3 linked regions of the Arabidopsis thaliana genome follow. The protein of the gene in region 2 interacts with the protein of the main gene of each other region in a pairwise test. Each region holds a gene or a part of one and is shown on either strand. Other genes may lie near its edges.

Region 1 (10,807 bases), on a different chromosome or scaffold from region 2:
GAAACATGCACATCCAAGGAAAAAAACTTGAACAAAGAGAGGAGAGGCTTTTGAAGGGAAATTTGATATTTCTCTTCTACTCTCTCCCCACCCTCGAAAGCGAGATTTTGGAGAAGGACATACGCTTACAAATCATAATTTTTCCCATAGTATTTATCTATTTTTAGCTTGATATTTCTCTTTTGCCTTTTTTTAGTAAACTTAAGGTTTTTCTCTTCCTTTTTCTTAGGAAACTCCTGCGATCTTAAAGAAACTATTGCTGCATGTGACATGTACTCTATTATCCATCTGGTTTGATCAATTTCGGTTCAGTCACTCGGTATAACTATTTTATTTTGTAATTCCGTTTGGTTTAGATCAGTTTAGCAAACACATTGTATTGTATGTCTTTTTCTGTTTGCGAGAATATCAATCAACCAAATATCAACCATCTTCCTCTTTCTCTCTACAATTCAAACCCGAACCAATCCAATCCGGATATATATTGAGAGGAAGAAAGCAATTGCTGGTGGTCTCCGGATCCAAGAATTGAAGGAACGGGTCAAGAATATGGAGCTAACTTTGTTGGACTTCAAAGTTGAACGGAATAAGGAGAAGGCCAAATCTGCTGCTGCTGCTTCTAAAGTCTTGTCGTTTACCGACATTCTTTGATGTCGAAACTAAGTTCTAGCAATCTAGCTTAAATATTTGGCATAGAAAGACTACTCTATGTCCATCCTTACATTCTCTGTTTTGTGCAACTCACTATTGATTTGGCATAAGACATTTTATTTACATGAAGATTAGTTATTAGTTGAGTTTTAGGCTGTGTCTAGTGTTAGCGGTAATCAATCCAATGATTAGACCACTCCAATGAAAGGCAAATAATCAAAGATAGATATTGTACCTTTAATTTGTTTCTAAACCAATCCAATCCTTTTGGTTAGACCAATTCCTCATGTCTGGTTTATTAGACAAAGCCCTAAAAAGACACTAAAGAGTAAATAGGTATCTTCACAAGACAGCCTTAAGATTCCAAAAGTTGATACCAACAAAATCAAATCAGGTCCACTTGACAGAGAATCTTGCACATCGCATCAATGGCTCTTCCTTTTCGCCAACATTCTCTAGCTCCCATTGCAGCAACGCCCACATTTTCAAAATTCAATCTTTTTCCCCAAAATGTCCTTCGTACACTCTCTTCTCGCCTGAGTTTTCCCAAGTTTCCCGACTGTCGTCATTTTCAGAGTTCGCCTCCAACCCAATTTACCAAAGATTACCGGAAACCCATTTCGCAGAATGGCTCTCTCTACTCACCTTTAGTTGTCAAATGCAGCGACCACGATGAGCCTCACTCAACTATCGTGTCTTCTGAGTTCGTCAAAGATGAAAAGTCGGAGACTTTAGAAAAAATGGATGATTTGGAGATTACCCACGAAACGAAGAAGGGAAAGAGTTTTTGGGCTGCCGTTAGTTTGATCATCGGAACAGCCGTTGGTCCAGGAATGCTCGGCCTCCCAGCTGCAACTATCAGATCTGGTTCTATCCCATCGACCATTGCTTTACTTTGTTCTTGGGTTTACGTCATTTCCTCTATTCTTCTCGTGGCTGAGCTCAGCTTTGCAGCAATGGAAGAAGACAATGCAGCAGAGGTTAGTTTCACAGGACTTGCAACTAAATCCTTTGGGAACAAATTTGGAGTTTTCGTGGCTTTTGTGTATGCTTCACTAAGTTTCTCTTTGATGGTTGCTTGTGTCTCGGGTATTGGCTCCATTGTGTCTCAATGGTTTCCTTCAATGAATCCATTTTTGGCCAATGCTATATTCCCTCTAGTTTCCGGAATCTTGATCGGGTTTTTCCCTTTCAATGCCATTGATTTCACCAACAGGGGTCTCTGCTTCCTCATGCTCTTCTCTATAACTTCACTTGTGGCCATTGGTTTATCTGTGGCTAGGTCCAATGTGTTAGCCTCATTTGGTCAATCATGTTGGAAAGTCTCCATGGTTTTACCCGCGGTTCCTGTTATGGTACTGACACTAGGGTTTCATGTGATCACGCCTTTCATATGCAATCTCGCTGGGGATTCGGTTTCAGATGCTCGGAGAGCCATTCTTGTAGGCGGTGTTGTGCCATTGGCTATGGTGTTGTCTTGGAATCTAATTGTTTTGGGGCTTGCAAGAATCACTGTGCCTGCTGCACCTTCTTCAACCATTGACCCAATCTCTCTTCTTCTATCTGTGAATCCTTCTGCCTTATCTGCTGTTCAAGGCTTTGCTTTCTCAGCCTTAGCTACCAGTTTAATCGGATATGCTGTTAGCTTCCCGAAACAGCTCCTCGACACATGGAAGCTTGTGTCTAAGCAATCAAATGGAAATGGAAGACTTGGGTCTGTAAGTTTCTCATCAAAAGAGCGTGATAGGAGAACTAATGGGAGAGCCTCATACAATGAACCAGCAAGAGCTCGTGATGGGTTTGAAGCAGTAGTGATGCTATTTGTCCTTGGAGTTCCAGCTCTAATTGCAACATTCTTTCCCTCAACGTTCTCGAGAGCTCTGGATTTTGCCGGTGTTTATGCAAACTGTTTCCTCTTTGGTGTCCTGCCTCCTGCAATGGCTTATATTCAACAGTCCAGAAAGAAGCTCAGGTAACTTCACCCTACTATACAAAACATTCTCTGTAGTCCTCTGTTTCTTCATTGGAACTATCTATGGGATTCATATGAAACCAAAACCTTCTGATTTTGCAGGCCATGGGTTCTTCCCGGAGGCAACTTTACCTTGTTGATCTTATTTGCAATCGCCATTATTCTGGGAATATGGCATTAGATCACCATCAAATACAAATGTTTTGTTTGTATCATGATTCTGCGAAGACATGCCATAATCTGACCGTGCTAACCAGACGCTAGGGAAGCAAAAAGACCCCACTGGGACCTTCACGAAGATATATGCATTCATTGGTTCCTTGTAGAAACACTAATAGCGATTGAGAAGTCTTTTTCACTTAGCAGGATCACATTTCACACTAGATCTATCATTGTTGGAAGACTTACTAAGAAACAGATTCAGCCATTCAGAGACTAGAGATGATATTAAAAATCTTGAAATTTTGGATTTAACAAACAACAATGTTTGCCCTCACACACATGTTCGCTAGACGACCATGCAGGGACACAATTGTGCAACTTAAAGATAGCCAGTGCATAGAATTCCGTGGTTTGACATTTATGGCTATCCTGAACAGATACTGTGTTGAGTAGGACACTAATTTGGTCACTGAAACTACAAGATGAGGAACTTGGAAAAACTACGGGTTCAGGTCGAAGTTCGTCTCCAATAGGTTCTGGATTTTGGACAAGGAATCAACCTTAAAATCAGGTTGCAGACCGGAAACAGAAAAATCGTCTGGTCCATACCTTCCGGTTTCATCTAGCAAGCAAGTGAAGGCTCCAGCTCGTTTCCCACATGCTATCTGCAGAATCGAGAAAAGAAAGATCGATTACCAGTTGTAATCTTCAGTAAAGATGTGAGAAAAATAGTCTGAAAAGTTGGTAGGCATCCTTTCCACATAGAAAATCTTTAAGCAATGGCATGAGAAGATCCATTGTTTAAGCTTCTTTCATTGCATTGCTTATCGATTTGCTATGGAGAAAGGGTTGACCAAAGGCTTGTCATCATGTCTGTCACTCACATCATCTTTTAAGCTGTCACCAACCATCATGACTTCATTAGGTTGGATGTCCCATGTAGAACATATATGCAACAGCGGGTCTGGGTTTGGTTTATATGGACGAAACTCTCTGCCTAGTGCTGGAGAAAAGATAACCTATACAATGAAAAATAACTGTAAGGAACTGCCTCAGATTTCTTCTCTCTGATAAAAAAAAAAGAATGATCCAGCTAAACCTATCTCAGGCAGCTGTCAAAATGTCTTCAATTCAACATTCTTACCTCAAAACGTTGATGGAAGATGTCGATTGCCTTTTGAACATTGCGTGTAATTAGCCCCCTCCTATAAAGTAAAATACAAAATGTAACAACAGTCAAGTTATCTGAACAAGAAAACAAAAAATCATAGACAGAAGTATCTGAAAACCACAGACTTTATCTTTTTGGAATCAAGGAAGCCACATAGTTCAGCAGTACCTGCCACATAAATGATCACATATCAGAAGAGAATTAAACCTCTAAACGCCAAAGAAACACAGTACTCCTTCTAGATTTTCAACTGCTAAATCATCTTATAGAACTCAACAGCATAAAGTCAATGACCAGTAAAGGAATGATCTCAAATCGTGATGTGGGGCTCTAAGACAAAAGTCAAACCTCCGTTAGACCATAAAGTCTTCACTTTTAACAAATGTTCATTTTATCTTTCAGCCTTGAATTTGCAATCTTTTCTCATCTTTAACTCTACGAAATTCTCAATCTTTAACCCATTTTACGATAGATTATCAGACGAAAACCCAAATCCTTAACACTTCCTCAGCGCAAACACAAAATCAAAAATAAAAAAATAAAGCAGATGAATCCGTACCAGGCATGATTTGAAGCTTATCTATTCCTTGTTTCTCATAATCAGCAATGATTTCATACGCCTTCTGCTGTTTATCAGGACTCCACGACTCAATATGATGCAGAATATCAATCCCACTAGGGCTCTCTGCTTTGATTCGCTTGTAAGCATCTTCACCAAGAACAGCTCTATACATTGCGGCGAAATCGATGACCGGAACAGTCAGGGTTCCGTCCATATCGAATACAACACCTCTCAGGCGAGTTTTAGCGTTCGTCGTTAAATTCGCCATGGAAATCGAACAAGAAGGTCTGAGAGTGAGAGAAATAAATGTTCTTGATAAGAGGAAAGTCATGGAAAAGAAATGGTGATGCTCAAACTGAAATTGAGGCTCATAATTATTCTCTATTTTTAACCAATTTCGGTTCGGTTTAATTTGAACAACTTGGTTTGTTTTGGTTTAGTGGTTTTTCACTTGAGCATGTTTGTGTATGTGCTTAAGAATGGAAACAAAGACACCAACAATCTCAACAATAATGGTTCTGCTGCCTTTTCTCTTCTTACTCTCTTCCTCTTCGGTAACGGTTTCTTCTTCGGTTCGCTTGTTGGCCGTTCGGGAATGGTGGTACCAAGCCCGTCTAACTCGTCCCACCCACCAAACTTAGAAGCCATTCCAGCTGAACTACGGTTAACTCCACGGCCATTGACATTGTTTCTAACGGTTGATGGGTTGTATCGAATCCTGCTACTACTTCTCTCCACTTCTTCTTCTTCTTCCTCTATCCCGAATTGATTTGCTATTGATGTACCTCTGCGTTTATCCCAACCAATCAACTTCTGGAACGCATAAAATAACAATGATGGCCCGATTGCTACGGCTAGTGACACGAGGAAAGCTTTGGGTCCGGTGCTGAAGAAAAGCGATAAGATGATGAATGGGAGGAGATATCCATACGATTTGAATGCCTACAAAGTGAACATAAACCAAACACAATAAAGATCCCACACCAACAATAAGAGAGCAAAATCTGGTGTATGCAAATAAAATGCAGCTATATATCAACAAAGCCGTTTCTCTTATCTTTGAGCAGAAAGACACTATCTAGTTAGAAATCAAAACTAGTTCAGATTCACTACACAACGATATTAACTGTTTCTTACATGATCACCATAACCATTACCAAAGAACAATTTTGATACTTTAATCAATCAGCATTTTCAATTAGCAGTAGTAGATTCCCGGCTAATTTCATAATTAAGGCTTAAAAGATGCATGATTGAAACTAATTACCTTTAAAATCCAAACATTATCTACAATTTCCTCTAAGATCTTCCACAGGTCAAAATTAGCACTACCAATTCCACCACCACCATCATCTTCATCATCATCGTCTTCAACATTATCTTCAAAAAGTTCTTCCCATAGCTCCCGCCGCTTCCTTCCCCTTTTTCCCCTTTCCGTCAAACGGTATCCCCTACCGTCATCAGCGGCGGCGCATATTTTATAGCTGAATCTCCGGCGGTTCAGCTGAATTATCTTCGCCGAAGTTACTCTAGAGCATGAGGAAGAGAAACAGAGGAGTTGAGAACGAGAGGGAGGATAAGATCTAGGGTTGTGGAATCGCCAGACATGGAGGTTTGAGAAACTAAGATAAGTAGAAGCTCGCGGTAACGAAAGAGCTCCTCTATCCGCCATTAACGTCTGGCGAAGCGAGAACAGTGAAGAAAATGCTCTGCTCCATGTATAGACACACTCAACTTGCGCCACGTTGTCATCATCTCCTCCATTAGAATCGAATACTATAAACCGGCTTGGTCCAGGAGAAATGTTAGAACTGAAATCCGGTATAATTGCAGGGGTAATTTCGAGATCATCAAATGTCTGACCTGACACGCCTACGTGGATTCTCTTTTCTCTTCCTTTTTCCAGAAACGAGGGAGAGAGAGACGAAGCATCAAACAAGGCAAAAACAAAAAAAAACCAGGAGAGAATATTCCGAGGGAAAACGCGAGAAAATTTCTTACGTTCTGCGAGAATCTCCAGCTTTCCTGGGGAAATATTGGAAGGCAAAAGCCGAAGGGTTTAAGGTCTCTGTAATCGTCGGAGAAATTTGAAATATCGTCCGTAAAACGTGAATGTAGTCTTAATCTTCCGCATTTATAACGTCGATCAGAGATTTTGAAGCTAGTAGAGAGAGAGAAGCGTTTTGTGTTTGATTTATGGTGTTTGGATCCATGGTGTGGAAACACCAGCTGATTGGGTTCTCAGGGATTTTTTCTAATGTTTCTCCCGTTGGAAATCTTTATTCGGGATCATTTCTAGGAAAATCAGACCAGATTTGGCCGTGATAATGGTACGAGTCTCTCTTCTCTTATCTGCATTGCGATTTCTCCGTGTTCTTCATTTTTACCTTTTTTTTTTTATCTTCTGTAACCATAATTGCTATTTGAGCTGATTTTTATGTTGCCCCTTACATTTTAGATTTCATTATAAGATGTGTCTAAAAGAGAACAAAAGAACCAGCTAATGAAGCTTGACAATATTTTTTTTATTTGTTTCTAATATATTCTACTTTAATCAGGCTTCAGTGAAGGTAACTGTGGGGTCACAGGTCTGGGTGGAAGATCCAGATGAAGCCTGGCTAGATGGAGAAGTTGTGGAAGCTAACGGTCAAGAGATCAAAGTTAATTGCCAAACCAAGACGGTTAGTCCCTTTTCTCCAAAGCAACGAGACAATGTGTTAGTTCTTAAGGTACCTTAAGAATACATTGCTCATATTTGTGATGCATTTGTTTGTAGGTTGTGGCAAAGGTTAATGCTGTCCACCCCAAGGATCCTGAGTTTCCTGAGCTTGGTGTGGACGACATGACAAAGCTTGCGTATTTGCATGAACCAGGGGTTCTTCTCAATCTAAAAGCCAGATACAATGCAAATGAAATATATGTACGCTTCAGCATGTAACTCTTGTCAGTTTTCCTTCTTTCATTACACCCACTTATGAATTCTATGATTATCTCTACCATTGTTTTGCTGAAAATTACTGCACAGTTATAGCAATATCATTAATATTTCTCTGAAGTGTTTGTAGCAAGCTAATTTCTTCTTGATGGTTACAGACATACACAGGGAATATACTGATAGCTGTGAATCCCTTTAAAAGATTACCCCACCTATATGGAAATGAGATAATGGAGCAATATAAGGGCACAGATTTTGGCGAGTTAAGCCCACATCCTTTTGCTGTTGCTGATTCTGCATACAGGTAATCTTTTGTTGCATAGATGAAACTTTAACTAATGTTGCACTATCATTTTTTTTTGGGCCTCACCATCATCAAGAATATAAATTTAGAAAAATGATCAACGAGGGAGTAAGCCAGGCGATCTTGGTGAGTGGAGAAAGCGGTGCTGGGAAGACAGAGAGCACAAAAATGCTCATGCAATATCTTGCATACATGGGTGGAAAAGCTGAGAGTGAAGGACGATCTGTCGAACAGCAAGTTTTGGAGGTAGATAGTCTGTTTACAATGCATCTACATTCTTACTAGAGACAGACTCACTGAGTTTCTCTCTGTAGATATCTTCTTATTCTTCTCGTATTATGATCCTGTTATGCAGTCAAATCCAGTTTTAGAAGCTTTTGGTAATGCAAAAACCGTCAGAAACAATAATTCAAGGTGGAATGTCATTCACATTTCTTGATTTTTCAAGTTTATGTATGTTCTTGAAGTCAACCTTGACATATGTAGGCAAATCTCATATTGCAGTCGTTTTGGTAAATTTGTGGAGATTCAGTTCAATCATATGGGAAGAATCTCAGGAGCTGCTATTAGAACATATTTGCTGGAGAGGTCACGAGTTTGTCAAGTTTCTGATCCTGAAAGAAACTATCATTGCTTTTACATGCTTTGCGCTGCGCCAGAACAGGTAAACATGGTCCCTTGTATGTTTACATCAGGTCGAACATATGAAGGCTCTGTATGTCCAGTGCTTGGCCATATATGGGATTCATACTGAAAACTAGCTTCTGTTCTGAAATTTCAGGAAACTGAGCGGTATCAGTTAGGGAAACCAAGCACATTTCACTACCTAAATCAATCGAATTGCCATGCATTGGATGCAATTGATGATTCCAAAGAATACCTAGCTACGAGGAAAGCTATGGACGTTGTTGGAATTAGTCCTGAAGAACAGGTACCTTTTGTTTTTTCATTGACATGATCAGCAATGAGGATAACTCTTCTTACATTTTACTTTTGTAGGATGCAATCTTTCGGGTAGTTGCTGCTATCCTTCATCTAGGAAACATTGAGTTTGCAAAGAGCGAAGAATCAGATGGTGCAGAACCCAAGGACGATAAATCCCGGTTCCATCTAAAAGTTGCTGCAAAACTTTTCATGTATATGCTTCACTATTATGTGTTCTCGGATTACAGGTTTCTTGTCAATGGGAGGTAGAACCCTGATTGCTCTTTTTTGGGTAGGTGTGATGAGAAAGCTCTAGAGAACTCCTTGTGCAATAGGGTGATGGTGACTCGTGGTGAAAGCATTACAAAGCCTCTTGATCCCGGTAGTGCAGCACTAAGCAGAGATGCTCTTGCCAAGATTGTCTATTCTAAATTGTTTGATTGGTAGGTTTACAATAACGGCTTCTTTCTTAAGGGCTTATTATCAATCCTGGGATATAAAGTTTTGAAAGCTTACAAATTTATTGCTCCCAGGCTTGTGACTAAGATAAATAATTCCATTGGCCAAGACTCAAGTTCTAAGTACATAATTGGAGTCCTGGATATTTATGGATTTGAGAGTTTCAAGACAAACAGGTGCTTAACCGGTACGCTACCAAAATGTTCAATTTCCTTTTTCGAGTTGATTTATAAACTCCCTATACTGCTTCCTGCATGGCTGCCTATATGCTCTCTGATTTAGTCTTCTTCAAACATTGAGCAGATGGTTTGTTATTGGATTTCTTAAGTTTTAGCTACTTAGCTAGAGATTTTTTTCTGGTCTGGGACAATATTATTATTATTCTCATAATTGATTGTTCCTAGCTGTTATATGGTTCAACTGATAGCAGTTTTAATGCTTGTGTTACAATTACAACGTTGTCTTTCTCTTTTCACATTTTGCAGTTTTGAACAGTTTTGTATAAACCTGACAAACGAGAAGCTGCAGCAGCATTTCAATCAGGTTGGAGACTGAGGTTCTTTTCATATTTTTGATTCTTGATTGATCTAATTTTATGCTGATCCATATTCATGCATATGTTCCTCTCTTCTACAGCATGTGTTCAAGATGGAGCAAGAAGAATATACTAAAGAAGAGATTGACTGGAGTTACATAGAGTTCATTGATAATCAAGATGTCCTTGACCTTATAGAAAAGGTAAGTAGTATCACAATGAGTGGTGTTGGAATCTTTATTCCGTTTTCTAGCAGTTCCAGTTTCATACATATTTATTGATTTCTAGCACCTAATACAGAATTGTTCAATGTCAGAAACCTGGTGGAATTATTGCTCTTCTTGATGAGGCTTGGTAATGTACCAAAGCGTCATGTTCTTTCTTCACTGATTTCTTTTTACTTCTTCAATAAGTGGCTGAGTTTGTGTATGCCTCTACAGTATGTTCCCAAGATCAACACATGATACACTTGCAGAAAAGCTATACCAGACATTTGGTAGCCACAAGCGTTTTACCAAGCCAAAATTGGCTCGTACAGACTTTACCATCTGCCATTATGCTGGTGATGTTAGTGATTTAATTTACTACAGAAGTTTGTGCTTAAATGTTTGTCTTTAAGTAATGGCAAAAATGTCAATGTGGTGTAATGACTGTATTGATGTTCAACTTCAGGTCACTTATCAGACTGAACTATTTTTAGACAAGAACAAAGATTATGTTGTTGGAGAACATCAATCTCTCATGAACTCTTCAGATTGTTCCTTTGTCTCATCGTTGTTCCCAAAATCGCGAGAGGAATCGTCCAAATCATCAAAGTTCTCATCAATAGGCTCTCAATTCAAGGTCTACTAATGATGTTAAATTCATTAAATTCTTCTTATATTGTTTTTCCGGTGATTCTCACCATGTTATAAATTACAGCAACAACTACAATCTTTGCTCGAGACGTTGAACACCACAGAGCCACACTACATACGTTGTGTTAAGCCAAATAACGTTCTTAAGCCAGAAATATTTGAGAACGTTAATGTTCTGCATCAACTTAGGTGTGGGGTAAGCTTAATGTTTCAGAGAACCATATACTGTTATTTTTTGCAACTGCGACAATTTTTCGGTCTTTACGTGATGTTGT
Region 2 (10,807 bases):
TTGTTGCAGAAGTTTGGCAAGACAACGGTGACACAGGTGACATTTCTTCCTTCTGCTTGTAACCGTCAAGATGAAAAACTGGATTCAGTTCATATACTATCAGTGGTGATTTCAGCGTCTTCTTGTCTTTAGAAGGCTTCCTGCCTACTGCTTTACCGATATTTTGTATTCCCACTGCCGAATCTGCACTCACACGATTGTTGCTTGTTGCAGCAGCAGCATGTGGTTTCTGAGAGGATTGTTCATTACAGCTTTGGGCTACTTCCTTGTTGAGCGGTATTTCCGTCTTTTTTGATCCGCTGGTAGTAACATGATTCACAGGTTGCTTGCACTTTCCGGCTCTGCCATCATCAGGAGGTATTCTTTGTTGTACTTTGGTTCTCGTCTTAAATTCAGGCGTCAGTTCATCATCAGGAGGTACTATTCGTTGAACTTTGGTTCTTGACTTCAGTTCGGGCGTCAGTTCATCATCAGGAGGTAATATTCGTTGAACTTTGGTTCTTGTCTTCAGTTCAAGCGTCGGTTCATCATCAGGAGGTACTATTCGTTGAATTTTGGTTCTTGTCTTCAGTTCAGGCGTCGGTTCATCATCAGGCGGTACTACTCGTTGAACTTTGGTTCTTGTCTTCAGTTCAGGCGTCGGTTCATCATCAAGCGGTACTATTCGTTGAACTTTGGCTCTTGTCTTCAGTTCAGGCGTTGGTTCAAGCTCAATACCAGCTAACCGTTTTGATGTTCGTCGGGCTACACTATTACTTAGCTCATTCTTCTTCTCTTCAACTTTACTCCTTGTGATCCGTTTCTCAGAAGAATCTTGTTCCTCTTCTTCCTTCATAACAGCTTCCTTCTTTGGTTTTTGTGACCTTACACTGGAGTTTACAGAATCTACAAATATAGAGAACATAGAAAAAATTGGTGTCCTCAAATCTTTTTGTTATCTCAGCCACTACTCAGGTGGAAATATTAAGTCAGGTATCTGCACACCTTTTTCTGATTTTGCATTTGATGAAGACAGATTTCTTTTTAAATCTACGACGACTTCCTCAGTCGTACTGGCTTTAGTTTGGCTTCTAGTAACCCGTTTCGCTATGAGCTGCTTTTCGATAGGATCTTTCACCTCTTCCTTCTTCCCCAAATCCTCAAGAACTTGTGAGGTTACAATGCTCAAGTCAGAAGTCATTTTACCTGCATATATAATCGAATGTTGACACTTACTTAACGTAACTCACGGCATAAGTATGATTATACCCTGGCAAGTGGCAAAATCAGAACCCAAAAGACTTTGTACTTACAATTCTTGGAATGTTCATCAGAAGAAGATAAGTTTCTCCGTTTACTTCTTCTGACATCATCTATCGTTTTCTCTTTTTCCAATACATCATCTGCAGATCTCTTGTCCACATACTCCAGACGAAGCTAAAATCAGACAGAGAAAAGTTAAGAGTTAAAAGATTAACAGAAAATTCAATCATTCAGCTATAGTGCTTTCCATTAAACTAACTATAACAAAAAAGGAGAAAGGAACTCACAACAGTCTTTCCATTTCCGGAATCATCATCTTCGATATCACTTTCTTTCAATTTACGTGCATAATGTCCAATATTGCCAGTCTCAACATACCGTGATGCGTCTTTGAAGGATTGAAAGATATACTCACTTTTAGGGTCAATGAAGAACTGCAAAATCAAAAACAAGACATGTCCAAGAAGAATCACATAAGAGATTTTCTAAAGTGAGCTTATGTGGAAAAGACACAAAATGTACTTTTGATCAAAGATGATGTTATCACAAAGAGAGTAGAGGGTACAAACTGGATCTCTTCTGGTTTTACGGCCTGATCTATTTGTTATTTCAAGTTTCTTGATCCATCCTTCAGGTAAACCTTGAGCAGCAGATTTCTCAACTATAACCTGTATCACTTAAACATAAAGAGTTTTTCATTTTAAGAGACGTATAAATGTCAAATCTTTTTAGGGATCACAAAGAACAAAGTAACATTGTCTTCAAACATATAAACAACACAAAACTCTCAGATATTCTGTGCTTATGAACTTTCCATGAACAACCTAATACCAGACCCTTGCCAATATAAATGTGATTCATCTCAAAACTTTCCCTTTGCATACGCGAGAGGTACAAAGTTTTAGTGCTTACGAATATTACAGTATTCTCTCGAAGATGGTTACTTAACAATCCAAATTCATTTTCACAAGATCTATTACTCTTAATGTCTAACCATCTCAGTAAAGTAACCATATAATTCCTTTTCACACGAAGTAAACTAAGAGACAAACTTTTAAAAATTCAAGAAAAACTTAAAAAAAATAAACATCTCCAATCATGCACACAAGTAATAAGAGCTTTCTAAGCCACAGTGGAACCAAGTAAAATCAATTGAGTTCAAAATGTAGCTACATAACAAAGCTTTGATCAAACTACATCATCTATAACAAAACAAAAAGTCAGGTCAAGACCATTTTCAGACACTTAATCAACTAGACCTCTTCTCTTTTGATCACATGTCATCTTTCCCTAAAAGCTAAGCATTGCATGCAAGAGAAAATCACTCAAACGTCACAAAAGACTTCACCTTTTTCCATCATTACAAAATCATACAATCAGAAACTAAGAGTGAATCAAAGTATTTGGCACTTCAATAAAGATAACTACAATTTCCACAAAAGGAGCTAACAAGAACCAAACATGCAAAAGACAATCAAAATTAAGAAAAGGGTTTAAAACTCATAAATCACCTTATCCTTTCTCCCATTCTTCCTCACTCTAATTTCCACTTTCCTCTCAGCCGACAAACCATCAGAGATCCCTTCTCCGTTCATCTCTCCGGTCACCGTAAAACCACTTTCCTCTCTCTCTTGTATCCCTGATTCACAACTCAGAATGGTTTATCAACTCAAAACGCCAAAACCCATCAAGAATTGTCGGATTCAGATAATGGACACCGTCGGAAGTTATAAAGAAGGAACCTTTTTATTTTGTCTGATTGTGTGATTTGGTTCTGTCTCCACTAAGGTAAATAAGAAAAATAGTAGGATTTAATGGGGAAGAAGAAGAAAGGGTTTACACGTGTAGTGTGGAGGAGTTTCAATGGAGATTCCCCGATTTGAGAGGTTCAAGAAAACTCAGTCCACCAGCACGCGAGTCTTCTGGCCCAACGCTTCTCTTCTCTGATTGCAATTTAGCTCATTTTCTCCATTTTATTCTCTTGTACTGTTTGTTGTTTACTTCCATTGTTATTGTCCCAATTTTAAAAAAACTTACACTGTATATTAAAAAACATTTGCTTGATTTGGTTATAAAATCTAATTGCAAATCTATTTATGATGATATTTTTTGGGAAACATTTAAGACTTTGTTATCATTTTTTGACCCAAAAGAAAAAAAAAATGTTATTATTGTAAATGTTAGGATTGGAAGATTTATCATGAGAAGAAAAGTGAAAAATACTAATATAGTCAATTATGAATTTTCATAAATCTGAATTAAATATAATTTATTTTTACTTAATATATAGTTTTAATTACTTTTTGTTTAAATTTATGTTATTAAATTTGGTATTTGTATATCATGTTTAAAAGATTTAGAAGTATGATTTTATTCTATTTCTAGTGATTTAATTATTGAAACTTTGATTTTTAAAAAAGTTTATGTATTAATAAATTATTTGGATTGAAGGTTATATCAATGTTATAAAATGTGTTTTAAAATCTGAAAAGTGGTTGATTTTTTCTTTTTAAATTCTGCATCCACGAAACTTATTTTTCTTAAAACTTATTTTTCTTTTCGAGGTTATGATTCTTTTTAGTTTTTTTTATCAAATTTCATGATGAAAATAACTGAATTGAACATCAAAGATTTTCAGAAAATACTCTACTGCTTTTTTCTTAACTATATTCTAGCCATTTACATATCTAAGCTTGATGTCTTTTCTATTTCGTCGAAAATCTATCTATTTTACGGCAGAGACTTGAAACCCGAATTTTGACATATCAAAAACACTAACACAATCCCATGTACTACATTATCATTTGTATTTTACTTATAGAAGAAAATAACTTTTTATTTAAAAATTGTATGGTAAAAATAAAGATTAGTTCCCTAATAACTATATAAAAAATCTTATTCGGTCGTTTTAGCTGTATTTAACTTTTAAACCCAAGAAAGAAAAAAATCAATCAACCAAGGAAGTAGTACAACAACAAGAGTCAAAACCCAACAACTCTCTATCTAGCACAAAAGCCTGACTTTTACAAAGACAAGCCTTTTCAACACACTACTGATCTTGAGAATCCTCTCTTCAAAGCCATGGCGTTAGAACTATGGCAAACTCTCAAAGAAGCAATCCATGCTTACACAGGTCTTTCTCCTGTTGTCTTCTTCACTGCTCTAGCTCTCGCCTTCGCCATTTACCAAGTCATCTCAGGCTGGTTTGCCTCGCCGTTCGATGATGTTAACCGACATCAGAGAGCTAGATCCTTGGCTCAAGAGGAGGAGCCACCGATTCCTCAGCCTGTTCAAGTCGGTGAGATCACGGAGGAGGAGCTTAAACAGTACGATGGCTCTGATCCTCAAAAGCCCCTTCTTATGGCTATCAAACATCAGATCTATGATGTTACACAAAGCAGGTGAAATTTCTGAATCTAAAAAGCGAAATTAGGTTATGGGTTTGATTCATTGTTTCCTCTAATCTTGTTTTAGCGTATAAAGACTTGGACTTTGCATACTTTTATGATCTATAAAGCTGTGAGAATCGTAAAGTTGTTCACTTTGAGAATCAATTTCACAAAGGAGTTTTGTTTTGAGAATCAATTTCAGAAAAGCACATTGGAAAAGTTGATCCTTTTTGTTACTTTTATACAAGAGAAAGATTCAAAGGAATATGTTTTTGTTGTTGATGTTTGCTAGTGATTGAGATCATGTTGTGAAATATCTTAGCTCTATCTTCGAGTATAATCAATCTCTTAGACTGGTTTTAGTGTCTCAAGTGTTGTGTTTGTAATGAAAGGTTGGATTTTTATTGTCTTCCTCAAATCTCGTTTTACTCTATAACAACTTGGACTTTGCATAGTTTTATCTATGAAGCTGTGATATCCATAAAGTTGTTCACTTTGAGAATCAATTTCACAAAAGTTGTGCTTTTCTATGTAATCGAGCTTTTGAGTGGCATAGTGTTAATTTACCCTTTTGCTTCCTTCATACAAGAACAGGATTCAAAGGAAGTTGTAATATGTTCTTGTTGTTAATGTCTGCTTGTGGTTGAGATCTTTAGTGAAAACTCTTTGTTAATCTTTGAGTATAATGAATTGATCATCTTCTTATGATAGTCTAGTCTGGTTTTTGCGTATTTAAATTAAATGTTGTGTTTGTGATGAAAGGTTTGATATTTATTGGTTTTGTAGGATGTTCTACGGACCAGGAGGACCATATGCTTTGTTTGCAGGGAAAGACGCTAGCCGAGCTCTTGCAAAGATGTCATTTGAGGAGAAAGACTTGACTTGGGATGTCTCTGGTCTTGGTCCCTTTGAGCTAGATGCTCTTCAAGATTGGGAGTACAAGTTCATGAGCAAGTATGCTAAGGTTGGTACTGTCAAAGTGGCTGGTTCAGAACCTGAAACCGCATCTGTCTCTGAACCCACAGAGAATGTTGAGCAAGATGCTCATGTAACCACAACGCCTGGGAAGACCGTTGTTGATAAGAGTGATGATGCTCCTGCTGAGACTGTGTTGAAGAAGGAGGAGTAGAGCCCATTTCCAAGATTTGCTCTGATTTGTCATAGAGACCAGTTTTATGAAAAGGATTGTAGAATCTCTAATGTTGAAGTGTCAATGATAATCTTGTTTTACTTTCCCAAAAAATAAAGATTGCTGATTAATGATAAGAAAAAAATGTTTTATAAACTGCATATCAGAAGGCGTTGCATTGCATGATTACAATGTAGTCGAGTTCATACTTGTGGTTTGTGAATCTGCATGATTAATCTGGAAACTAAAACATTAAACCTGATCCTTTTTTTGTAAATTCTCTTCATCCTTTTGGTTACTACTATAGGAAGTTTTTAAGTTGGTCACTAAATCCATATCAATTGGGAAATAGAGTATTCAATTGTGATCCTCGATGTTTAAGAATTGGGGCAAAGAAGACAGTTGACCACGTTCTTCTGAGTGTTCCTTGCATTGCAGATATGTGCGCTCGATCTCCTCAGCACTATGGAAATTTCGGTGTCGTCGGTATTTGCAAATTTGGATATTCTTTTCTTGGAACAACCTGGCTCTTCAAAAGATTTAACCTTTCCATGGATTATTTGATACATTGGAAGGCACGTAATGATAAGGTTTTTAATGATACATTTGAGAAACTGCACAGCTGCAAGAACATAAGACAAGTACCTTTGAACAACGGTCTTTATTACAAAAACTGGAGTTTGAAGTCACAAATTAATGTTTTATAAAATAGTTCATTTTTTTTGGTAAACATGTGAAGATTTTATAGATAGTTGATGGAAGGAGACTCGATATGTTTTCAAATATAGGTTGGATCGGTTTTCATAACGACATAGAAGGATCTCTTTTTAGAGTTAGGAATCTATGCATAAGCCTTTCTCCTATGATCAAGCATCAAAGTACATCGGTAACTATCTCAATGGACTGTTCAAAGCTAAAAGAAAATTGACAACTTCCTGAACATTTTAGCCAATTTTCTCAACATATTTGGAATGGTTTGCAAGACTCAAATATTTGCTCTCTTCTGGCTTTCTGTTATTCTTGTAATTAGAATTGTCTTGCTAACTTGTTAGCTAGCATGTTGTTCACCACTACATTTTCATTATTTTAAGTATGTAAGACCTATAGTTCTATATACACCATCGATTTGGATTACCGAACCATTTTGATATATGTGTATGTATTTCAGTCGACAAAAAAAAAAAACTTCTAAGATCAGTTTAAACTGAATTTTGGTTATCGCCTTCTCTGCGATCATGGATTGGGTTGGACCTAGACATATGGGCTTAAGATACGTTTTACAAGCTGTCATGATGAATACAATTATTGTCTTAAGTGTCACGAGATATTGAAATCGTCAAAATAAGCCAAACATGCACCAAGATATCAACGCACATGTAGTTATTATATAGCAATAGTATTCTAAACGTAATGAACCGTCGATGTATCGACGTGTACTTTTTGCATTCACTTTCTTTTGTCTTCAAAAATAAAATGAAAATCAGAAATAAAGAGGTGTAATATTATCCACGTAGGAGTTGAGATCTACGACGACCAAACTAATCGTTAGGAAAGGTTTCAAAATTTGAGGTTCTTATCCAACCAACGCTAACGTAATGCTAATCTCGTGTTTCCATTTCTTCTTCCTTTAATGCGATGTCTCTCTGCACCCAATAATTAAAAAAAAAGTTTCTTTACATTTTTTCTTCTAAGAGAATTTTTTTGGCAAGTTGGTGACATGGTGTACTTCCCATACTTATCCATATCCCATTGCTCTAACTTTTTGTTGCTAAAAGCTAACTTAAGGAGTGATGAAGATTATAACTCATAATCAATCTAAAAGATAGACTCTTAACCATTTCTAATCACCACAATGTTCAAAGATCATATTTGGAGCTAGTGGTTATTTAGCCATGTGCATGGTCTTATTTTGATAGATTACCTTTTTGGATTGTTTGAACAAAAACATAAATACATGTAGCTAATTTCGATATATTAATTACTTTTCTAGTTGGAACCATTCGGAGAACAGCAAGTACCAATAACGTGAATGCATTTCCATTTAATATCACACAAAAGAAAAGTTCCATGTATCATGAATTTAGCAAATTCCATTTATAAATATTTGGCTTAACTAAAATTATATACATGGTTTCTTCTACATCTAGTAAAAAAAAAAGATAGATAAACCATGATACCTATGTATATGTATTTATATTAAATTTAAATATACCCCACATTTTTTGTTTTCGTCAACAAACAAACCACTTTATAGCTTATATATACACATCACACACACATATGAATGTGATGTTAATATAGTTTCGTGTGGACCTAACTAAAACTAGTCGTAACTCATTCATGGAGGCTTTGTTCTGCTCTGAGATACCCAACAACAACATCAGATCTTCCATTAACGATCTATCTTCTTCTTCTTCATATACATGGCCAATGATCATGACCTCCTCTTCTTCTTCTTCTTCATCTCCCACAATCATGAACATAGAGAACATTCCTAGATGCGACTGGGATCTCTCTCTTTCCGCCGTTGTTTCCTCCGCATCCACCGGATCAGACGCTATCGGAGCAATCGAGTTCGACCCTACCGGAGAGATCATAGCTACGGGAGGAATCGCAAGAAAGATCAGATCGTATCGTTTAAGCTCTTTGTTAGAGTCACGTGACGATCACGTAACAGCTTCAGAGAGCTATATTTGCACGCCGGCGAAGCTTAGTAGTCTCAAATGGAGACCCGATTTTTCCGGTCGGGTTATCGGGTCAGGAGATTACGACGGAGTTGTCACCGAGTACGACGTGGAGAAACAAGTGCCTGTTTCCGAGAGAGACGAGCATGGAGGTAGAAGGATTTGGAGCGTGGACTACACGCTTTACAATGGCTCTCTTATAGGCGCGTCAGGCTCCGACGACGGAACGGTTCAAATGTGGGATCCACGTAACGGAGGGACGTTAGAAGAAACGGTTAGGCCCGGTGGTGGAGCGGCGATTTGTTCGGTAGAGTTCGATCCGTTCGGTGGATCTTCCATAGCCGTTGGATGTGCTGACCGGAATGCCTACGTGTATGACATCAGAAGACTAGTGGACCCTTTGATCGTATTAGACGGCCATACCAAAACGGTGACGTATGCTCGATTCATGGATTCTCACACGATCGTTACCGGTTCGACCGACGGGAGCTTGAAGCAATGGGATATAGATAATGGACGGCGCGTGGTTCGCACGTACCGAGGGCATGTGAATAGCCGGAACTTTGTTGGGTTGTCGGTTTGGAGACATGGTGGTTTGGTCGTGTCCGGGTCAGAGAATAACCAAGTGTTTGTGTACGATAAGAGGTGGGAGGAACCGGTTTGGGTTTGTGGATTGGGTCATACGAACCGGTTTGGATCTGACCGACGGTTTGTTAGTAGTGTGTGTTTGAGACAAGTGGATGAAGATTGGTGCACACTTGTGGCCGGAGGATCCGATGGGGCTTTAGAAATTTTCTCGGGCAAACAAAGCTAATCAGTATTTATATTATTTTTTTCTGCTCATGATTAATACAAACTGTTTTTCAGTTGATTTTATACTGTCTATAGTTATTAATTTTAATATGATTGAATGTTACTACAATTCTTAAGAAGAAATTGTAAGTGATATTGAGAACTTTTTCAATCATTGCAATTCGAATACACATTTTGTAGGGAATTGAAAATTAATTCTAATAGTGTTTTAATTAGCGCTAGAAAATAAATAAATAAAATGTATCAAGGAGAGTGTATATATTGACTTGTAAAATGACAAGGAGAAGTCAAATGTCCACTTGAATGAGAAATTCTATTTCTATATATCTTTTTAGTTTATGGACCTTTTTTTTTTTTTACATAGCTAAGCTAGAGCTTTAGACGACTAAATTGATTTTGAGTCTAAAAGATATGATATGTTTTGTAATCAATTGACCATTTAATCATGTCATGTTCTTTAGTTTTGTAAAAAGAGAAGAAAAACTTGTCAGACAATACTTATACATATACATTCATGTAGGTTAAGAGGGTTGTTTAAAATTATGTAACTATAGTGGTTTGATGCAAAATAAAATCTGGCCCAAACGGCATAGTGGCCAACAAAACTTTGCCACATGACATGACTCCAGTAGCCCAGAAACTGGGCTGATCCAATCAGAGGTTGTCTTTATAGCCCATCTTTAGATGAGTTTTACATCTCTTGTCAACAAATGTTACGACCAACAAAGTCTTTTTCTTCAGGCAAATATAAAAAGAAATAACGTGGTTCAGAGATTAATTATTTTAGAAAAACGTAAGAGTCAGGACATATATTTGGAAGTTCAACATGAAAAGCCAGCAAAACCCATTTGGGTCACGACATATTGTATATGGAAATGCAAAATATTCCCTCTCTCAAATGAATACCCTATTTGTATATTCGAAATGTATTGTATACTTCTATTATCAATAAAATCCAAAATTAAGTTTTATACGTAAATATGTGCAGCAAATAGGAGGGAAGTGTTGACTCACCTACCAAGATTAATTACACAAATATCCTAACAAACAAACTATAATATTGATTATATTTAAAGAAATTTTGTGCATAGGGTTTTTAAATATACACATTGCCAACTTTGGTATACGGGATATCCAATTTGTCCGATCGCTTTTCAAAGATTGGATGATTCTTTGCATTCTTTAATTCAATTGTGTTCATTTTCTTTCATAATCATTGATACGGGACAGACAAAGATTGTTTTGTCAACGTTAAGTTTTGCCCTCTAGACCACTTTTACTCATTTATATGATTTGGTCAAATTACATCATTTACACTTTTACATACACAACATCTTGATATTTTTACTTTAATATATATTCGGAACCAAACTACTTAAGTCAATTTTTGACATCAATCTGTTTGACATTGATAGTGTCTTTGAGTGAGTTTTTGTATAAAGAGATGGAGACAAAGTGATACCAACTTGGTTAAATCATAGATAATACTGTGATTAATCCTAACATCTTATCATCGTAATGAAGATTTCCCTGTGATCGCAAGTTTGTCA
Region 3 (10,807 bases), on a different chromosome or scaffold from region 2:
AATTCCTGATAATGGAAAAATAGTTACATTCATTCACATTACTAATTTGGTTAATTATTTGTAAAAGCGTATAAGTTAAATAAAATTGTGAATATTGGTCTGGTTTGATTTATATTGGTTAGCGGTTTAGTTTGGGTTATTATTTTGATGAACTTTGGATTAGAAGACAAAAATTTGTCTTCCCGTTTTGAGGGGAAAAGTTAGAGCCTTTTCAGATTTTCTTCCATAATCAATTTTAAATTGTAGCTCAGTCCCATTAACTAAAAAGTTTAAAATTTAAATTTGAATTTGAGATATTAGTTAGTAACTTTTTTTCAACTCTAATGCAAAAACTGTCTAATTTCTCACCTAAATATATCTACTAAAAAAAAGACAACCACCCATAATGCGGAAATTTGATATATCATGAAAAATTTATGAATAAAATTTTAGAAGTAATTTTCTAAATTTTACAAAAGTCAAATGTGTTCATCATCCAATGAATTTGATACCATAGACATGTCCCAAGTTTCATATCAAACAAATGTGGGGTTTTCAACTATTCTATCACATCTCCAAAAGGCAAAAACATTAGATTTAAGTTTTAACTCACTACTTCTTAATTAGGATTAGAGTTACATAAACCAATTGTCAATGTTAGACCACATTTAATGTTCTTGGAATTAGTAACAAAAAATATAGATTATTAGTGAACAAACCATACATATATATTGGAAAATATGTGTATATATATGTTTGGCAACATGTGGTTTCTATATAAGAGATTATGTGTGTATTAAGGAGTGAATAAAGAAGCTTGAAGAAAAAGAGGGAAGGCAAAAGTGTGGGGTTAAGGAGCCATGTGATATGATCCTTCAAACATGTGGTTTTCTTTTTCAAACCCTTTTGCTTTCTTTCTCTCCTCTCTCATTATCAACACACACATACACATATTTATATAATGAGTGTGTGTGTGTGTTTGTTTTTCATAAAATTTGTGTGTCAAGCTCAGTCTCGCACTCATATCTACGCAGCATCTTTTGGTACCAAACACATGTGGGGTTACTTTTTATGGTATCGATAGTTTAGTTCATATTTGTTGGAAAAAGTTATGTATGAATTTTTTTTTACAGAAATATAATTGAACTAGGATTACATCAATTATGTTATCGTTTGCTAAGTTATGTAATATCCTAGATTTTAGCAAAAACGACTACTATAGAGCTCCATCTAATCTTGAAAAGAAAAAAGTTATTAGATAACATCATTTATCATATCTATGACTTTAAAAGGTAACACAATTAATTTCTCTACAAAAATTATTATATATAGACTAATATGTATCTGCATACATCACATGTATGTATATTAACATCTATATTTTATATATATTGCTTGCAAGACACTCTATCAAAAGTATTTCATATGCTTGTGTCTTACTTCAACTCTCTTTATTTGGTAAATATAATCTAGTTACTCAATAAAAACACTAAAACGAAGAAATTTTTCACATGCATTGTTCAGAGGTTTTGATTCCCTCCCTCAACCATTACACATTTTCATTTACAATATATGTTACACCATTTATTTGCTTTACCTTAATCATAAAAACGCGATAATTAATGCTAACAAATAAAGAGACTATAAAACCTAAGAAAGAGCTAATTAACAACTAAACCTTTGTTTGTTGTCGATCGATGCTTAATTCAATAGACTAAATCATATATCGCGACTTTTGTTTTCAACGAGGAGTTACATTAGTAATGGAAGCATCATCGACTGAACAAAGAGCGGACGTATTGATAGATAGACGATCCACTAATCCTACTTGTTCATGTTTACTACTCCGGAAGAAAAAACCAGGTCGTTGAGGAACTGCGAGAGCAATTGAGCTAGTAGTGAGCATCTGGACAATAGCTGACATGGTTGGACGATCTTCAGCTTCTTCTTGAACACATAGTAAAGCGATATGGATGCATCTCGAAACTTCATTTATTCGATAGTTATCACGAAAGGATGGATCCACTAGCTCTAACGGTGACCCATTGCTCCATAGTCTCCAAGTCTAGTGAACATTTTAGTATTTAGAACTTTGGTCACTATTAAATAAAGTAAAATAATAATTAAGGCTCGATATATAAAAAATGGCTCTATATATACTCACATATGTAACCAAATTGCCAGCACTAGTACCATCCATTTGATAGACATTGCTGTTCTTTTTCCCACTTATAATTTCGAGAACCAAGACCCCGAAGCTATACACATCTGATTTCATGGAGAATTGGCCATACATCGCATACTCGGGAGACATATAGCCACTGTGACAAAACTCAAAGCTTAAGTTGATAGAAGCATGCATGTTATGTGCCTTAAGGAAATATACGGAAAACTTACTATGTTCCAACTATTCTCCTAGTATTGGCTTCCGTTTGGTCCATTCCGAAAATTCTCGCCATTCCAAAGTCGGCGATTTTTGCATTCATATCATCACCAAGGAGGATATTACCTGCTTTGAGATCACGATGTATGATTGTGAGTCGTGAATCTTGATGAAGATAAAGAATCCCTCTAGCAATTCCTCCAATGATTTTGTACCGTCTAGTCCAGTCCAGCAGGCTTTGCATGGTAGAGTCTGCGCATATGAATTTACAATGTTAGAAACAATGAATGGTATACAATTTGTAAAAAATTTATCTTAGGCTAAATATTGAACATAACTGACCAAAAATGAAGTAGTCGAGACTTTTGTTGGGAACAAACTCATAGACAAGTATCCTCTCATCTCTTTCCAAACAAAACCCTAGCAATCTTACCAAATTTCTATGTTGAAGCTTTGCCACAACAATAACTTCGTTTGCGAACTCTCTTTCACCTTGTCCTGATGTCTTGGATAACCTCTTCACTGCAACTTGTACTCCACTAGGAAATATACCCTACAAAAATAATCATGAAAATGAAACTTTGTTTTTGTTTAACACATATTCGTTTTTATTTATTAAGTGTTGTTTTTTTTTTTATCAAATATATATTTTGAAAGCAAACTCAATTATTTCTCCTTTGTGGCCTTCTAAAAGTTAGGACCAGTTTTGGACAATGGTAATAATACCTTGTAAACTTCGCCGAAACCACCTTGACCAAGTTTGTTAGTCTCACAAAACTTATTTGTTGCTGCCTCAATTGCTTTAAAATCAAACTGAAGTGAGCCCGCAGTGGTAATATCATCACTTTCTGTAAAACATAGAGAACATTCTTCGTGAAGAAAGAAAATAAAAAGGAGATAGTTTATCATTTGGTGTCTTAATATGTATACCTTCGGTAAGTGGTTCCCTCTCATAATTCGTCCTTGTTTTCTTAGCCCGGAGACTAAAGAAAGCTACGAACAGAAGCAGGAGAGCAATGATTGGAACAACAACAACGATGATTACAGAGGAGTTCCGGCCTTTTCCTGTATTCCATCAGATTACATGTATGAACCACTTTTTTAAAACAAATCTTGAGTGTCTCAAAAGAAACGTTGCAGTTATGTCCATCATACCACGTTCTGAAATCAGCGGTGGGGGAGCTAACTTCAGCTGCTGTTGAGGAGTAGAGCGAGGCGGAAGAGACGGTGGTGATGATGATCTAGTGGCGGTTTCATTGTAGAACGAGTAATTCTCGTACCTTGAATTACAACTAGGGTAAAAAAATCTTCCTCCAATTCTGTAAAGAGACATTCCCTTGATGGATTTTTGTAGGCAACGTAAACAGTCTTGTCTTGTAAGATCAGGTGTGCACTGAACTAACAAGTACAAAGGCTGGGGTGTGATGACCTTTCTCGTATAAAATTTTTTAGAACTATTCGCTGCTTCAACGGCAGCTAGGTTCAACGTGGACGACACCAAATCCCTAAACTCATCTACTTGATTTTGATTACTTGATGAAATATTAGCGCCGTTCAACAAGATAGCACTTCCATCGTATGTAACGGTCGAGAGAATATTTCGGTGAGAGTATCTAAGCATACACTCATCGTAATAAAGCACGACTTCTTTGTTATACGGACACCAATATAAAGTCTCCTTGACGGAAAAGGCGACGCAGTTACGGCAAACTTCTTGTGAGACGTCTCCGCGACAAAGGAAAAGTCCGGTGACACGGTCGGGAGCTTGTCCCGCCGTGGCAGTTTGGAATCCGGTAGAGTATGAAGCGTTCCGGGAAGAGAGAGAGGACAAAAGTGTTTTGAGATTGGTGAAGTAAGTGCTGTTTCTTGAATACGTTAATATACTACTTGGACAAGAATGGTTTAGGTGAATAAAATTTTGAACTGGAGCTGAAAGAGGAGATAAGGAATCGGCAAATGAAAGATGAAGGAGAAAAGGAAAAAGCCAGAAGAAAGACATGCTTGAGTTTCTTCGATTTGCATGTGTCTAAGATCATGAAGCACACATGCATTAAATAAATTTATTTTTCTTGACTACTGTACATTAACGTGAAGTACAGGTTGGTTCGAAGTTTTTTTTTTTCCTTTTTAATAACAAAAATATCCTAGGCAAAAGATGATGATGCACATTAGAAACAAACAAAAGGAACGGGTTGGCGATCAGAAATTGCCAAGTAATTCATACCAAGTAGTAACAGAAAGAATCATCGTCATTGATAGGATAAACACTCTCAAAGACAATGACGAAAGAGAAGACAAAATACAAAGACTCATTTGCTACTTCACAATTTTTATCTTTTTGGTATTTTCTTGTAACCAAATCTCCGTTCGTTTGAAATCGTATTTCGACTTGTCATACTGAAATTAAAAAAAAAAAGACAAAATTGATACGTGACATATACACATGGTGGTCAAAAATGAGTATGAGAAAATTGATACGTGACATAACACATGGTGGTCAAAAAAGAGTATGAGAAATGAGACTTTATATATCGATGAAACCAAATCCAATGCATGCAGAGATATCTAAACACATACAATCAAAAGTTAAAGATGTCCAACACATCAATGTCTGTAGAAGACAGTACAACAAAAAAAGCGTTTTGAATCGCTTATTTTTTATATTTGCATATTGATGCAAATGAGTTTTACATCACTTATATAAGTGACTTTAGAATTGGTGAGTGAAAAAAATTATTTACATCGTTTCAAATAATTATTTACATCGATTATAATATTAGAAACATGATGCTTAACTCTTAACATAAATTACGCCAAGACCAATTTGAACCATCTGAAAATTAATTATAGCATTCTATATTTATGTATTCGTTCCTCGAATTTATGTATCTTTACTTTTATAAAATTTTACCATACTATAATTAATTTTTAGATTCTATATATATTTATAAATGAAAATTTAAGGAAATTAGTGATAATGGAATGGCGGGTAAATAGGATCAATCCCAATGCATGCTTGTGTCCGAAGCATGATGTCATCATTTGTTAGTTCCCCTGTCTCGTTCGATCAAAAAACACGTTTTGACAGAAGAGATTCAAAGTGACAATCAGTTTCAAGATTTAATTCTCTTACCCACTCTCTCACCCTGGCTTTCATAACTTTCTCCGGGAATAAGAATCGCCGGAAAAGAAGAAAACCGCCAATGGAGAGTACGGTGGAAAGAGAGGCGTGGAAAGCTCACGTGGCGATGATCGGTGTGCAATTGTTCAACGGAGGATATCATGTCATTACCAAAGTGGCTCTCAACGTTGGTGTAAACCAACTTGTCTTCTGTGTCTTTCGTGATCTCATTGCTCTCTCCATTCTTGCTCCTCTTGCTTATATCCGTGATAAGAGAACAAGACCTCCTTTGAATCGACAGTTTCTCTTAGCTTTCTTCTTCCTTGGTTTAACAGGGTAATTCAAGTTTTCTTCTACCAGTTTCTGTTATCTTCATGATTGCAATCATCACAGTGATGTTTTGGTGTGATTAGGATATTTGGTAATCAGCTTTTGTTCCTCATTGGTCTGAATTACACCAATCCAACTTATGCTGCAGCCATTCAGCCGTCGATCCCGGTTTTTACTTTCATCTTGGCTCTCATTATGGGGTAAAGACTCGATCCAGTCTTTCTCTTTTACTTTCTCTCTGACTCTTCCAAACCTAGAACAATCCATTTTCGTGTGTTGCTGCAGAACAGAGAGACTGAATTTATTCAAGCTAGAAGGTCAAGCTAAGGTAGGAGGCACACTGATTTGTGTCGCTGGGGCGGTGCTGATGGTTTTGTTTCGTGGACTGGCTTTGTTTGGGGAAACAGAGGCTGAGTCCTTGGGTCATGGTGAATCAAGACACACTGAAACATCTGGACACTTCATGTCTGGCTTTTTTAATGGACTTGGGCGATGGAATTTGGGAGTTTTGTGTTTGATTGGGAATTGCACTTGCATGGCTGCTTTTCTTGCTATTCAGGCATGTCATTTTCTTCTAGATGATCCACACACTTTCAGTTTCAGATATCTTCTTGTCTTTGGACTGACCTTGCATTTGAAACATATATGATCAGGCTCCGGTCTTAAAGAAGTATCCGGCGAATCTTTCAGTCACAGCATACTCGTATTTCTTTGGGACCATGTTTATGGTGACATCTGCTTTTTTCATGACTAATGAGTCGACGAACTGGAGTCTCACAAGATCCGAGTTCTTTGCAGTTGTCTACGCAGTATGTTCTTCACACACCATATGTTTGTTGATCCATTAAATTTCTCCAATTGAGTAACTCTGTTGCTTCCTCTATGCAGGGAGTAATCGCGTCTGCTCTCAACTATGGTCTCTTGACATGGTCAAATAAGATCTTGGGTCCTTCCTTGGTTGCTCTCTATAATCCTCTTCAACCCGCAGCCTCAGCTTTCTTGTCCAGAATCTTCCTTGGAAGCCCTATCTACTTGGGGAGGTTTAATATCTCTCTCCTTTTCTCTTAGCTATTCTCAGCCATCAACGGGATGTGTCTGAAGTTTCCTAACTAACTAGGCTTTTTTCTCCTCCTCTCTTAGCATTTTAGGCGGATGTGCAATCATAGCAGGTCTTTATAGTGTCACCTGGGCATCTTACAAAGAAAAGAAAGCGGCAGCAGCAATGGCTGTGATCCCGATCACCTCAAAGGAAGCTGAACCCTTGATCTACAAGGACCATAAAAACAAACCAATAGGACATCTATTCACAAAATCTCCCATCTCTTCACCAAAATCCGATGATTGAACAAAAACTCTGGCTTCTTGAATTACTTGGGTGCTCCGATGTTTTCTTAACCTTTTGCCGACGAGAGAGTGACTATTTTATTTTCTAACAGTATATATATGCATATAAACATCAATGTTTAACAGAGTCTCATTATCAGGTTTGATGTCCTCAATGCGAAAACCATTCTGCATAATACTCGAAACCATAGCCTCCAACAGTTAAAACTGTCTGACCCTCCATAGCTCTGAACACCTTCTCTGCATTTATCACCAACCTATACTTCCTGTACATATCAATCAGCCCACTTTGTATCAAACCATTTGATTCAAACCCGAGCTTTATGGAATTCACATGCACTCGCTTCCAAAATCTAGCCCCATCACTAACATAAGTGGAAGAAAGATACAAATTTGTGGCAGAGGGAGTGAACTTGCTTCCCTGATGTTAAATCTGAAATCAAGGCACATGCTTTTAGAACACATCACATTATGTTGTTCAACATAGCAACAAGGAGAGAAGTGGCATTTTGGTAACCATCCATTGCAATACAGGCTATACAGCTGATGATAACAATTGCAGAGCAACGAAAATCTCTGTAGGGCATTTATTCCATATGTGGCGGGCGAGGTCCAGGCGCCAACATGATACACACATCAAAAAGACGGTTGAGAAACTGCAAGGTTGGTCTTACCCCAGATTTCAAAATGTGAACTTGCAGCTCTATAAGCCCCACCAGCGATCACGAGTCAGTTGATTTCTGAGCCAGAGAAGAGTACAGCTCTTCGGTTCCAGACGGAGAAAGACAATCCAGTAACCCAAGAATGTCGGAAGTCAAGCAACAAGGAGTTCGATCCTCTGGATGGCGTTAATAACGGCAGGTTATGTATGGGATTCATGACAAGAAGTTGACCATGGACCCAGTTCCAGAGTTTTTATCTGAATTACTCTGGAGATTTTAATTAAAGAACATATTGAACCAAACACAGCCACAAGAGCTTTTATATAGATGATGGCTTCAGAGTTCCACCATTAAATCAGGGAGCAATCTGAGACAAAAATGAAGTCATCAACAAAAGAGATACAATTCAGAGAATTTCAGAGCTTTTCTATCATTTTATGGTTCTTTATAATTCTGGGAGACAAAACTTAAGTTATAGTGGAGAAAGCACCAATGGACATGACAAGTAATAAAATTAAGATCTTCTTAGTCTAAATATTACATAATGTAAATTTAAGATCTTCTCCGAGCTTTCTACCATGACTGAGAAAACCTGAACTCAGCAAAAATGTTGTTTCATCTCTTCATACCTCTGCATCACTGGATTCTGAATCTTCGTCTTCTCTCCAAGAAAGAACTGGATTGAGTGAAGATGACTTGTATAATAAAGATTGCAAGAAGTTAAAATAAGCATACTTGATGTCAAACTGCATGTCATACCCTGCAAATTAGATGCATACATAGCTTATTAGAGGCAAGGAGAGCCGAAAAATACTGGCTTGCCACTGAAGACAAACAGATGATGGAAGCAAAACTAAAACTCTTACAATAGTTCACTGCAATGGTATAACCTCCATCTCCTGGGGTTTGACTAACATGGTGAAACCACATGCTTGGCCTGCAAAATTCAGAACCATTCTGAGTCAGAATCATGACTAGAAAATCCAATTGTGTAGTAGGTCTATCACCCATTTCTAATCTTTGTTTCTTATAAAGCAAAGGTAAGACTGAAGTAGATACATTAGTGATCCAAATTAAGCCAAAAAGTTTCTGAGAATTTTCAATCTGTGGAGCTATGGGATTTAAATTCTTACAGGTAAAGAACCTCGCCAGCCTTGACAGTACAATGAAACGGCTTCGGGCCATCAAAGAACAACGGAAATTTCAATCTCTCGCTTGCTTCCTTCTCTGGCGAAGGGTATGGATCAACACTAGACCAAGGTACATGCCTAACCGGCTCCTCAACCTCAAGCTTGAACGCATCAGTATCCTATAACGATTCAAACTTTATCTCATTCAACATCACTTAACAAGAAACCAAACTCATTGAAACTTATTAATCTAAAAATCTCACAGACTCGGTGGTAAGAGTAATTAGCTGCCGGATACTGTTCGATATAGAGACGGTGAACATCAGTCGGAGGAAGAAGAAGGAAATGTTTCTCCCCTGAAACAACAGCGTAAAGATTCTCATAGTGATCTTTATGAAATGAAGTCACGGAGTCATCAGTACCAATCCAAAGGTTCACAGCTTCCGGCGAACAACCAAATGCCTCCGTAGCCCACTCAATATCACCGTCGCAGTCTAACGCAACCGTCGAATACTCCGTTCTAAAACAATCGTTTTGCTGTTGCAAATACCCAACCTTCAGTCCTTTACACGACGATTGAACAACCTTAAGAGCCTCCGGGAACAGAACTTTCTCAACATGAGCCGAAGCGAAACAAAGATCACTATCTCCGGTGACGGCGTCTGCGCAGCCGTTAGGAGTGAGATGTAGCGAGACAACGTCATCTGACAAAGCTCCGGTGAGGTAAGCCGGATCTGACCAGAGTTTTAACGCCGGCCAATGAGTAATAGCTTTGGAGATTACACAAGGCTTGCTCTGAGACACGTAGTTTCGGAGAAACTTCACCGGAGACGGTTGAGAATCAAAACGATCGATTTTAGTTCCTAAGCTCAATTCTCTCACTTCTCTCCATAAATTCTCTATCTCTTTAGCCATTGACGAAAAAAAATTGGCGGGACAAAAAATTTGGGGGTTTTAACACATAACCAAGAACCCTAATTTATATTTAAAGAAAAAAAGAAAAAAAACTGTTTTTGTTATAAAAATAGGATTTTTGAAATAAACTTGTTTCGAAGAGGAAGAAGAAGATGAGTTGTTCTTATCTACTTTCTGGTGACGCTTCCGTCGTCGCTTCACGGCGGTGGAGTGATGTTTCTTCCCGGCAGCGTTTATTTCTCCCACGGCAATCACTCCGGCAGCCATCGGGTTCTTCGTTTTCCCGATGCGTCCGATTAGTCGCTAATGTAAATGATCATTTCAGTAAACAATCACTCGCGACGAGAAATTGCTTGGCTTCAGTGTTTAGTGCAGACTTGGGTGGAAGTAACGGTAATAATGATAACGGAAATGGCGGCGGTGGCGGAGGAGACGGCGGCGGCGATAACTCTGATGATTCTTCTTTCGATTTGAGATACCTCTGCTTTCTTTTATTGGGCTTGTCTTGCTTCTTCCATTTCCGATTATCAGCTGCGTCCGCCATAGCTAAAGATCAAAATTCGGATAGTAATGGAGATGCTGTGAAAGAGACGGTTTGGGAAGTGAGAGGAAGTAAAAGGAAGAGACTAGTTCCCGATTTTGTCAAAGATGAGTTCGTCTCTGAAGAATCTGCTTTTGAATTATCATCTTCTCTAACTCCTGAGAATCTCCTAGCTCAATGTAGAAACCTTCTCACTCAATTCCTTCTTCCTGAAGGTTTTCCCAATAGTGTAACTTCTGATTACCTCGATTACTCTCTCTGGAGAGGTGTTCAAGGTATTGCTAGTCAAATCAGCGGCGTTCTTGCCACTCAGGTAGACGACTGAGCTTATCATCTCTCTTAGGCATTTTCACAAACACTTGGTGTTCATTATATTGTGTTGGTAGTCTTTGCTTTATGCAG

What was found.
Region 1: the proteins of MSBP1 (region 2) and AT2G33250 interact in a protein complementation assay, tested with the Arabidopsis thaliana proteins (one large-scale study listed by BioGRID).
Region 3: the proteins of MSBP1 (region 2) and UMAMIT3 interact in a protein complementation assay, tested with the Arabidopsis thaliana proteins (one large-scale study listed by BioGRID).

Annotation. Positions count from the first base shown.
Region 1 is NC_003071.7:14,092,837-14,103,643, reverse strand, and holds AT2G33250 (uncharacterized protein), read right to left. Parts: upstream 6,276-10,807; 5' UTR 6,191-6,275; coding exon 5,786-6,190; intron 5,461-5,785; coding exon 4,966-5,460; 3' UTR 4,893-4,965; downstream 1-4,892. Other genes in the region: AT2G33260 (Tryptophan/tyrosine permease), read left to right, coding at 1,080-2,623, 2,726-2,804; AT2G33255 (Haloacid dehalogenase-like hydrolase (HAD) superfamily protein), read right to left, coding at 3,286-3,450, 3,670-3,804, 3,930-3,990, 4,082-4,124, 4,516-4,849; XID (myosin XI D), read left to right, coding at 6,730-6,786, 7,077-7,199, 7,295-7,438, 7,612-7,757, 7,847-8,003, 8,113-8,171, 8,262-8,421, 8,539-8,688 and 9 more.
Region 2 is NC_003076.8:21,208,798-21,219,604, forward strand, and holds MSBP1 (membrane steroid binding protein 1), read left to right. Parts: upstream 1-4,142; 5' UTR 4,143-4,323; coding exon 4,324-4,643; intron 4,644-5,417; coding exon 5,418-5,760; 3' UTR 5,761-5,814; coding exon of another isoform or gene 5,815-5,822; 3' UTR 5,823-6,045; downstream 6,046-10,807. Other genes in the region: MBD13 (methyl-CPG-binding domain protein 13), read right to left, coding at 1-885, 985-1,185, 1,293-1,416, 1,530-1,676, 1,812-1,910, 2,754-2,837; RUP1 (Transducin/WD40 repeat-like superfamily protein), read left to right, coding at 8,101-9,258. UniProt on the Arabidopsis thaliana protein: MSBP1 can bind to multiple steroid compounds with different affinities. Negatively regulates cell elongation and brassinosteroid signaling. May act as a coreceptor with BAK1 and enhances its endocytosis.
Region 3 is NC_003074.8:16,861,681-16,872,487, forward strand, and holds UMAMIT3 (nodulin MtN21 /EamA-like transporter family protein), read left to right. Parts: upstream 1-5,352; 5' UTR 5,353-5,565; coding exon 5,566-5,819; exon of another isoform or gene 5,820-5,896; coding exon 5,897-6,013; coding exon of another isoform or gene 6,014-6,098; coding exon 6,099-6,372; intron 6,373-6,466; coding exon 6,467-6,622; coding exon of another isoform or gene 6,623-6,661; exon of another isoform or gene 6,662-6,701; coding exon 6,702-6,853; coding exon of another isoform or gene 6,854-6,881; intron 6,882-6,953; coding exon 6,954-7,158; 3' UTR 7,159-7,246; downstream 7,247-10,807. Other genes in the region: CRK4 (cysteine-rich RLK (RECEPTOR-like protein kinase) 4), read right to left, coding at 1,721-2,044, 2,144-2,300, 2,377-2,614, 2,705-2,915, 3,089-3,210, 3,293-3,427, 3,518-4,361; AT3G45880 (2-oxoglutarate (2OG) and Fe(II)-dependent oxygenase superfamily protein), read right to left, coding at 8,175-8,186, 8,449-8,579, 8,686-8,756, 8,953-9,128, 9,217-9,864; RUS1 (root UVB sensitive-like protein (Protein of unknown function, DUF647)), read left to right, coding at 10,017-10,718, 10,792-10,807.